Linked DNA regions of Oryzias latipes. The protein of the gene in region 1 binds, or shares a complex with, the protein of each later gene. Links are inferred from orthologs where the notes say so. Each region holds a gene or a part of one and is shown on either strand. Other genes may lie near its edges.

Evidence for each region. Proteins that work in one complex are often made in the same cells at the same time.
Region 2: nckap1 (region 1) and cytoplasmic FMR1-interacting protein 2 share a complex: the UniProt entries of both Homo sapiens proteins name them as parts of the WAVE1 complex. The link is inferred for Oryzias latipes from reciprocal best matches to the Homo sapiens genes NCKAP1 and CYFIP2.
Region 3: nckap1 (region 1) and wasf2 share a complex: the UniProt entries of both Homo sapiens proteins name them as parts of the WAVE2 complex. The link is inferred for Oryzias latipes from reciprocal best matches to the Homo sapiens genes NCKAP1 and WASF2.

What each region holds. Positions count from the first base shown.
Region 1 is NC_019873.2:796,402-799,901, forward strand, and holds part of nckap1 (nck-associated protein 1), read right to left. Parts: intron 2,821-3,500; coding exon 2,728-2,820; intron 2,651-2,727; coding exon 2,594-2,650; intron 2,507-2,593; coding exon 2,364-2,506; intron 501-2,363; coding exon 410-500; intron 99-409; coding exon 1-98. UniProt on the Homo sapiens protein: Part of the WAVE complex that regulates lamellipodia formation. The WAVE complex regulates actin filament reorganization via its interaction with the Arp2/3 complex. Actin remodeling activity is regulated by RAC1.
Region 2 is NC_019868.2:21,208,222-21,211,721, reverse strand, and holds part of cytoplasmic FMR1-interacting protein 2, read right to left. Parts: intron 3,489-3,500; coding exon 3,335-3,488; intron 2,638-3,334; coding exon 2,481-2,637; intron 2,401-2,480; coding exon 2,304-2,400; intron 2,225-2,303; coding exon 2,148-2,224; intron 2,069-2,147; coding exon 1,960-2,068; intron 1,881-1,959; coding exon 1,761-1,880; intron 1,685-1,760; coding exon 1,485-1,684; intron 1,413-1,484; coding exon 1,325-1,412; intron 1,185-1,324; coding exon 1,041-1,184; intron 915-1,040; coding exon 824-914; intron 1-823. UniProt on the Homo sapiens protein: Involved in T-cell adhesion and p53/TP53-dependent induction of apoptosis. Does not bind RNA. As component of the WAVE1 complex, required for BDNF-NTRK2 endocytic trafficking and signaling from early endosomes.
Region 3 is NC_019869.2:21,789,727-21,793,103, forward strand, and holds the end of wasf2 (wiskott-Aldrich syndrome protein family member 2), read right to left. Parts: intron 1,634-3,377; coding exon 1,476-1,633; 3' UTR 501-1,475; downstream 1-500. UniProt on the Homo sapiens protein: Downstream effector molecule involved in the transmission of signals from tyrosine kinase receptors and small GTPases to the actin cytoskeleton. Promotes formation of actin filaments. Part of the WAVE complex that regulates lamellipodia formation.

The DNA of each region.
Region 1 (3,500 bases):
GAGATGAGGGACAGCAGCTGGGCATTCCTCCACTGGTCAGCAGACAGGTTTCTCCGTGGATAAACCATCTGTAGGCTGATCAGGGCTTCCGACAGAGACTGGTCACAGCAAACATGCAGCTTGTGTCAGAATTAGCTAGGGTCACCACCAAATTCTTGAAAGAATGCAGGTGTTTCTCTTAGCAGTGGCTCAATAACATTAACTTATCTTATCTTTATGGACTGTTTGATTCTAATCAAATGCTGAACTTTGTCATTTCCAAACTACACAAGATAAGCAAGAAACTAAAAAGGATAAATGTACTTTTGGAATCCTGCTCCGGTTGTGATAGAAACCAGAAATGGATCCATTTGTTAGAATGCTCATACCTGCGGTCCAAAACACTAAGAGAACACAGGACACGCCTCACCTTTCCATGAGGGACAAACTCTTCCATCATCTTCTTCAGAGGATTCTCATAATCCACGATCATCTGTCCCAGCCTTGGATACTCCCTGTCACTGCAGCACACACACATAATGCTCAGGTTTATCCAGAGTGACTCCAGGTTTCCTTGTTTTCTGTCTTCCAGCAGACACAGCAGCAGGAATCCGTACTGAACCCTCAGAACTTTGTTAAAGACATCTATTCAACTCCAAGGCAAACCACCAGCTCACATCTTTACCGGACCATGCTGAAAGCAGCAGGGCACACAAAAGGGGGGGGCTGTCCCCTCTCTTATCTAAAACATGGCTCTGTTTCTGTTTCTAGGAGTCCAGTAGAGACTAAGCTGCAACTCCAGTGTAGACAGCTGACTTTGTGCTCATGTTAGTATGTTTTTGTCTCTGACTTTTTCCCTGTTCTGTTCCAGGGTACAGGGAACACCATCAGACTTCTGGGACACAGTAAAGTGAACATTGCAGAGGCAGACTGGCAGATGTGGTGCGGTACAGTGGACTCAGGAACAGAACAGATCAGCTGTGATAGATAAACAACCCTTTCCCCATCCCCCATGTTAAAAATGTAAAACACAGTGCAAGTAACACTGCGATCTAAAGACAGACCACATAGGGGTGTAATGATTAATCCACGTAATCGATGAATCCATTTCTATTCCTACATTCCAACCAGATCCATCTGTCTAAGGCAAGTTGTAAATCGAATCGACCCATACCATTATACATTTGTTTCAAAATGAGATAAATCTGTCATCAGCTTTGGGAAATACCATTTGGATTGAGACATGGTAGCATTTATTTTACTACAACGTAAAAACGACCAAGTTCATCACAGCGGACAACACACATGTGATGTCATGAACACGGATCAGTCCATCATTCCAGTCCAATGTGTGGACAGACTTTGAATGAAGTCATGTGACCATCCAGTGTGAACCATTGTTCAAATGAATTGTATTGAATGAATTGCAGGGGCCTCAAACATTTTCAAACTTGGAGGCTACTGAGGAGAACATAAGACCTGAGCGCTGAATATTTTAAAAAAATCAGGGCCATTTATATTCATTTTTCAGATATTTAGAGTATTATTTCAGCTTCTTTGAAAGTAGGAGAGAGGGATTTAGTACTTAACTTCTACTGTATCACTGTTGACAACTAAGATTTTCTCCAGCCTGTTGCTTATCTACAGCACAACTTTCTCTCCTGGAGGGTGTTTTCAGTTTGTCCACTTCTGGAATGTCCACTGTATTCCAGAAGATTTAAGAAAAAACTGTGCTTCAGACCACAAATGATAACTTTAAAAATGTTTTCCTTAAAAGAGTTTGAAAAATTCATGCCTGTGAGTTTATCCAGCTGTTCATTTAGTCAGCCATGTATGTTAAGGTCGACCAAGCGTGAGCATTAGGTGTCCTATGGGAAATTCCATTTTACATTAGCATCAAGCTAGCAGACTTTGGGTTTACTCTTGTTATGCGGTAAAGATTCCGAGTCCGTGATTGGTCACAGTGCTGCGATTCAGCGTGAAAATGATTAACCAGTTGAACTGTCAGCGAGCAATCAATGAACGCCTGATTTGTATGTGATTTGTACGTAGAGCTCGCGAACGGACTTTAAACTTTTTTAGGGTTAAATAGAAATTCCTGAACTATACATGTAAATTTTCTATTTCTGTCAACGTACGATCCGGCGGTCATTAGCAGTACCGTACATGACACGAACCACCTCGGACTGAGTACCAGCACTGTCACCTTTTGTAAAAAAAATAAAATAAAAAAGTGGCCCATCACTTTACGTAAAGAATAATTGTAGATTAATCGACTAATTGAAAATCAATCGACTACTGAAATAACTGTTAGAGACAGCCGTAGTACGAACAGACTGATCTGATCAGACCCTGACTGAGGGACTAGAACCTGGCTCTGTCACCTGGCTCCATGCGTCATCTCATGCGCGTAGTTGTAGAGTCCAATGATGGCTTTTCTCTCCTCGATGCGAGACAAGATGATCATCAGAGTGGTGTAGGTCACCACCAGGTCCAGGTAGTTCCTGGTCAGGTCAAAGTTCACCGTCTGCTCGAGAACACAATCACAGGTTTAATTCTGGTTCAGTGGAGCTTCTTCATTCTGAAAGGAACAAACCTAAAAATCAGCGCTTACGATATCAAAGTAGACCTGGCAGGCGTCAATGGTGTTCAGCAGCTCACACACGTGGTCCTGTGGATGAAGATGGAAAGCAACTCATCAGTGACAGCCTTTAAATCTGAACTCCTCCAGAATGTTCTTTCTCCCACCTTAAACTCCATGACGTCCACAAAAGTGAAGTAATACAGAGCCAAGTTCTTTAAAATCTCAGACTTCTCCTTCTGCAGCTGGGCCAGCTGTTGCTGTGAAACCACACAAGAACACGTCTGAGCAACAAGTCAGAGCCTGTTTCCAACAGCCACCATGACCCACCACCTGACAGCAGAGCTAAAGCATCTGCAGGACGCCTCTCCTCATCCGTCTGACTCTTGGAAGCAGAAACAAATGCATCATGCAGACTTCTGCTGCCATCCAATTCCCATTAAAGACTCAACTCATGCAAGACCAGAACAGCTTTGCTTTTCCTACAATTCTGCACTAAATGAACCAAAGTCACTTTTTGCAGCTGCTGAATAATTCAGCAACTTAAAAAACATCTTCTAAGGAAGCTTGAAGATATTTACTTTGCTTGAAGTTTTTTTCATGTTATGCTTCAAATGCTTTGGTGTGTATCCAAACGATGAAAACATGTGATGAGTTAGTGGATTTTTTCAAAAGCAAAGATCCTTTAACATTTAAATAGCAATTCCTTTAAAAAGAAATGGCATCTGAATGCTAAAAGCACAACTTTCATTCATTCCTAATGAACTGCTGTCAGAGTGCAGTATAAAGAGAAAAAGAAGTGTTTTACTAATTGGCAGATGACATCATGGTAAACGTTTTTTAAATGACTTAGGAAGCTGCTATGAGAAATAGATAAATAGATTCTGTCTTGAAGGCAGGGATGTCAAACTCCAGGCCTTCAGGGCCGGCCTCCGGCTGG
Region 2 (3,500 bases), on another chromosome or scaffold:
AGGATAGGCACCAGCAAGCTGTTAAGGGTGCATTTATGTATTTTTTTTTCTTTTCGTGTCCGTCTATTTGTCCATCTGTCTGTAACTCCATGATGTCTTTTTTTTTGTTTTTTTTTTGTAATTTTTATTTCTATAGTTGGTGGTGGACGTCGTGGGCCATCACATTCAGGGGGGCACCGACGCATTTAGGTGGCATTGCCCCCCTCTTTTCAATGCCTATATTCGGCCTCGTCTGCCTGTCTAATCTTCATCTGTCTGTCCGTCCATCCTTACGTTATATATATTGTTTTATTTTGGTTTGTGGGGTGCTTTTAGTTAATTGTTGATTTTTGCGGGCCGTCACATTTGTGTCGGACAGTCACAGCATTTAGCCCCCTTTTAGAGCCCAACCTGTTACTCATATCAAGTCTGGTTCTGCTGAAGAATTCTTCCTAATCTTCCATTTAAAAATGGAAGTTTATGCCCTGTTGCTGTTAGCTTACTCAGTATGAAGATTCCAATGAAAAGCTTTCAGTGTAATCTGCTGGTCAATTACATAGACCATTAGAATTTAATTAAATGATCTGGTTTCTTGGAATAATCTTATACTGGATTATAACAATAATAGTCATTATGAATCTCAGCTTGATGGTTTTTTAATTTAATGTAGTATGTAAAAAACCTCAACCAGTCACAATCTATGCTTTTAATTGAATTTACACTGAACTTCCTTATTTGAGTCATTTTTGCTAAAAAAAAATAAAAATAAAAAGTGCACATTTAAGTTTAAAATTTCAAAACCTGTCAGTAAATGTGGTTGGACAAAAGACAGAGGTGAGCTCACCGGGGGAACCATACTCATGGCGCGGTAGACGGCAGATCTTGGGCATGACTTCTATCAGAGTTTTCACATATTGCAGTATGGTGCCCTGCAACTATAGGGTAAAATAGATAGACAAAAGCATCGAAAGGGAAAGAAAAAGGCAGATAATGATAGCGGTTACAATTCAGAAAGATCATGACAACATGTTTTTTGGAGGCTGCAATTGGAAGATAAATACCAGGCTCTTGACAATTTTCAGCAGCTCCTCCATCACGACAGCGATGCCTTGGTAACCAAGCAGGCGGCAGATGGTCTTGAAGTGAGGCGGGCCGACGAAGTTTCTATAGGAGCTGTATATGTGGGAGTAGGCGATGTTCAGAGGCTGAGAAGAAAAAGAGGAAGCATCGGAATCATAATCGGAGGCAGCATAGTCATTATTTCAGTTTTTCTTTTGTTACACAGTGTAAAAAGCAACAAAAAATAGATAAAAATATGAACACCAAACATAGAATGGCAATATACCTTGGATCCATACAAGTAATAAGGCTGCACATTGGCTGGCTTGTCTCTTTGAGGCTCCTGGGTGAAAGGAATAGCTGTTCGCACAAAGCTGAGAGGAACAGGAGAGATGGTTCAAAGTTGAAACAAAACAATGGTTTTTCTTTACATTTATTTAGCTGACCGGTTCGTTGATCCGTTGTAGCAGTAATTTGGGAGAAAATCGAAGTTGAGTTCCCAGAAAACGTGGAGCGTGATTCGTCCGTAGGGAGCAGAGACATTGTGGTTGGCCTCACGAAACATGGCATCAAAGCTGTCCAGCGTCAAGTGTTTGCACAGAAGTCTGTGGGTTAGCCTGTTGATCTCCAGGAGCCACTCCAACTCCTGTCCAAAAATACAAGGAGTTTAAACAAAATATGGAGAACGAACAGGAATAAGCTTCACCTGATGGTCCCCTCACCACTATGGAGGTGAGGTCTTCACTCTCAAAACGGCTAATAGCATGATCCAAGGATTTGTACATCGCTGCCGAGATTCTCTGGGTGATCAGGCGGTTCAGGTCAATCGAGCGACCCAGCAGCTGCAGACGAGTCAAATACGACAATGACATAGTTTGCAAATGAGACAGCAAAATAATCAAAAAGACGATGTGCAGATACCTGTACGTGTCTCTGTTTGAGCAGCGTCTCGTAGCGGTTTGATGGAGGGTACGGGATGATGACCCCGTAGTTTTTACACTCTGCCCTGAAACGCTTGTCTAGCAGAACACTGTGGAAAAAAATCACAATTTCTTCAAACGAAGCCCTCAAATTTCTGTATTCTGTTCAAAAAAAAAATCTCCTTTTACCTGCCAGCCATTGCTTTATAATAGGCAAAGATCTGATCTGCCAACTTGTAGACAAACTGGTCAAAGCACAGGTTTACCTGTTCAAATAACACACAAAATATATATCAAATTCAACTTAAAATGAGCCAAATGGAATTGGTGTCCATCAGATCTTACCTCAGCCTCAATTTCATCATAGAGGAACTGCTTTTTAAACTTTGTAAGAGCATAGTAGGCACTGTCGTTGTACAAATCAAGGGGGTACAGCACATACCTGGAGGAGAAAGGGTAATGGTTGCAGTACTGCCCACTTGTTAGGGTACAAAACACAAATCTCCCCTTAATTAGTCTTACTCCATCATGGAAGGCTCCTTTGTCTCCAGGATGTGGTCAGTAAGGATCCATGGCATGGACATTTCAATGGGGAACTGGATTCTGCGGCCCATGGTCAGCTCCAGGAAGAACTCCCTGAACCAGAGCTGGGACAGGTCGCAGCACTGCTGCAGGGCCTCTGGACAAGACAAACACAATTAAAAGTATTGCTTACATGCACAAGGATAGTCCTGTGGACTTTGTATAAATGAGCAGAAAATTCAAATAACTGTCGTACATTCGTCTGGTTTGGGTTGCTAAAGCACATACAGCTCTCAGAAGCTGCTGAAGCAGATTTAACTGCCTGAAGAAAACCTGCAGTTTCAAGTGCTGCTCACTTGGGGGCAGCATAAGCAGACCAAAGCAGGGAAGACGAAGAAAAACAACTATTGCCACAACCACTCTCAGATAATTAGCGCTAGTATTTCCTCACTACAAGTTTACACTGCAATGCTTTTCAACTTTATGTGATTCCTTCTGAGTTTTGCTGATTTTGTTGCTACTTTTAATACATAACTCTTATGTCATTTCTCCTTTTGGTTCACTTCTGCGCTTTGGTCAACCATAAAAAACATGAAAACCAGAACCTTCCTCTCAAACAGAGCAAGGTTCACCTATTGTCTGCACTAGAGTTTAGATGAGCTGTACCTGACAAAGTGGACTATATAAGGAAATCATTAGAGGTACAGATAGCTGTTAAAACCTTCATGCTTAAATAGGATCATTAAAACAAACAGCATGCACTTATAGTTTGATATTCCAACTAAAATTTTCGATTTCAATCAAAAAATATATTCCATCTCCTGAATAAATGACTTGAATTACATTTAGCTTACCACTAAAGTTCAGTAAATGTGTGAAGAAGAAGGACTGCTTATGGAAATCTTCGATGGCCTGCACTATGGGTCCATCCAAACTGCTGCGGAGAGTCTTCTTCGATCCACTTTTGTCTGCTATCAGGGACTCCAGCATGGTGCGGACCATGTACAACTGCACAGGAAG
Region 3 (3,377 bases), on another chromosome or scaffold:
GATTAGCTTGCAATGCTTTTTTTTTTTTTTAACACTGAGCTTCAATAATTTTTTTGCAGCAACAAGACTGATGTCCTTTACATCAGCCTTTGAGAAGCTGGATAAGCACAGATCCATCCAATCCATTATTATTATCAAAACTTTTTGGTTGAGTTGAGTATCAAAAAATTCTCTGCCATCACTACTTCTATATCTAAAATGCAGTTTAAAAGTGCATCAATACACCGACTCATCAGGAGTAAAGGCACCATAAGCTTAAGAATGATCTGCATTAGTATGGACGTAAATGGCGGGACTCCTTTAGACATACTAAACATTTTTATTATAACACATACAGAATAAAAAGCACAGGACCTAGAATGAAGCCCGGGGGAACGCCTTGGGATTATCAGTGGTTCCTGGAGGATTACCAATTTCATTTGGAGATAAAATTTCCTTTTCACCAGAGCATTATAATGTGCATACATGGAGAAGGAACAAATAAATAAATCGGAGCCATCTTTTAGCTTCATTCTATATTTATTGAAATAAATCATTTAAAAGTTTAAGGCAGAAAACGAACACTTTGGAAAAAACATTTGATTGCTCTGTAGCCAAAAAAGACAAAAAAAAGGCACTTTAGATTTGACATCACTGGAATCCGTGAATATGTTTTTTTTGTCTGAACTTCGTTCTTGTTAGGCTAATCAAATTTGTGCTCAGAGGAGACGTGGAAAGCCTAAGACAAAAAAAAGGCTGCTGTTTACATCAGTGAAGCAGACAACAGTGCATACAACATCCCCCCCCCCAAAAAAATCCAAATATAATTTACAAAGAGTAAAATATATTACACAATAAATCTTATTTTTGAGACATGTCTGCATGTTTAATAAGGCACGGATGTTGTCCAACACAGGTGGGAAGATCCGTTTTTTTGAGCTACAACCATAAGATTTGATCTTTATTGAACACCAATAATGTGTTTGAATACTTAAATGAGAAGGAAAAAAAGGAGAATTTCTTCATCTGGAAGACGGATTTGATAATAAACTTTGGGTATATTTGCTGTCTGAAAATCAATACTTATCTTTCACTGGGGTTAAACCGCAAAGCTGAATGCAAGAGAGAAACTGTACAACTAAGTACATCATCAGGAAAATAAAAACACAGATTCCCGTCATTGACAAAAAGCGAGAGACACCTGCAGACAGGCATTAAGGATATAGGAGGATGAATAAGATATTTATTATAACAGTGATTTTCCTGAGAAAACTGTGGGACACAAGCGAGCATGCTTGGGCTTAGTTCTAACCTTTGGACCTTTACACATAAATAAGGTGGAAAAATTGGCAATAACTGTTTCTAGGAATGTGATTTAAAATACAAGTACATGTTAAACCAACGAAGGAAACATGTAGATGAAGAGCAATTTAAATGGAAATCCACAACGTTGTTTAACGATTGGGAAAGACGTGGTGAGGGGAAAAGACCGGGTCTCACTCGGACCACTCATCATCGTCAAACTCGGAGGAGTCGTCCTCGCTGTCACTGCACTCCACAGCGATACGGCGGGACAAGATGGCGGCCACATCGTTTCCAAAGTGATCCCTCTTCTCCTGCTCCCGCTGAGCTTCCACCTTCCGCAGGTTAAAACCTAAAACAGAGCGTTGTTTGGACAATACAGTAGAACTATAAACAGGAACAAAAGCTTTGGTGCTCATTTTAAATCCAAACACAATGTCCTCAGTGGTACCAGAAAGCCAAAACCCCTAAGACTTCTATTGAGAAATAAACAACTATTACTCATTCTAGTTGTAAGAATAACCATTTTTGTAATTCATTTTCCTTACATGTTCTTGCTAATCTTACATTTTTTCATGTTAATCTTTCTGTAGTAAAAGTAGTAAACTGAACAATCAGATGACTCAAAAGTATGTGTCACATTAAACATTTGATCGGCAAATTCTCCCAAGCCTGTTTTCAGTGAAAGGGGTGTGGCCTTCCAACAAACTCACTCCTGATTGAGTGGTTGCCATAGAAATGCTGACTCAGACCTACCACAGTTTACTGACGTTGTCTGTTTTCAATGAGGAAATGTCCACATCATGAAAAAATGGCGATTGAATTGACTTTATTTGGTTGGAACGGGAAGTAAGGCATTTTCTATGGGGGACGTCTCAGCCCAGTTCTCATACACAGTCAATGTTTGGAGCCAGGATTCCTCATTTTCAATCATTTTCTTCAAATCTTTTTTTTGGATGGCAGTGTCGGATCTATTTATGCATGAATGACTAAACTTCATTGAATCACTCTCAGGAGGCTGTTAAGATCAATTAAGTTCTATTGCTTCACTTTTCTTTCATCTTTCTTGCTCTCATCTTTGCTGTTTTTTGGCTTTATGGACATATTGTATGACCCCCGATTTTACATACTGAAAGAAAAATCAAAGCGTAACATTGTGTCTTTTCAAATAAACATGCAGCACATAAGAGAATCACTTTCAATTTGCAGCTTTAAATACTATTTACTGGCAAGAGAATTTAAAAGTCCTGATCAAATTAAAAGTTAGGAAGATTCCTTTTTTTCTGGTGGTAGAGCTGTTCATTTGTCTTCAGGTTGGCTAATAATTTCACAACACTGATGACAGGCTGACTTTAACAAACAGGTTTACCACACAAGACAAACAGGACAATTACAGTCATCGTATCACCTAAACCATCATGTTGCTACCTCTGGATATTGTTTCTACCATACGATTACATATTACATAAAAGTGCATCAGCTTAGTTTCAAGTTTCTTGTCTGTCGCAATTGAACATTGCGCAAACGAAAACAGAATACCTGTGCTAATATTCCCAGATTGTGATACATGTCGATGAAGACTCATTCATCCACAGGGCTCCAGACTGCGACCATTTGCTCGCATTTTGCGACCAAAATTTGAGACTGTGCGACTGAATTTTACATCCAGTCGCACATGCGCGACCAGTAAATTTGCCTCCCCCACCCTCCGTATTTTTTTATTCATTAAACGTGGAAGCGGTCCGTCAATGATCAATGAAATGAGCAATGAAATCATCAATGAGACGCGAGCCCACACGCACGCAGACAGACACACACACACTCGTGAGACTGGAGCACACGCGAGCGCACACTCGCATGTCATTGAGTGATGCCTGAGGCGGCCAATGCGTGTGAGAAGAATAGGGAAAGTCACTGCAACTGGCTAAAATATGTGGAGGGGCGGGGCCTAGAGATAATCGAGTGCGCGTTAACGTCTGTGGGAAGGAAACGGAGACAAATCATCACAACCTGATATGTGCGTCTGAGCTATGAACAGCTAGCGAACTATTGATTCGTTATTTCGACCTGCGGCTAGTATACCAGTGCCAGAGTGT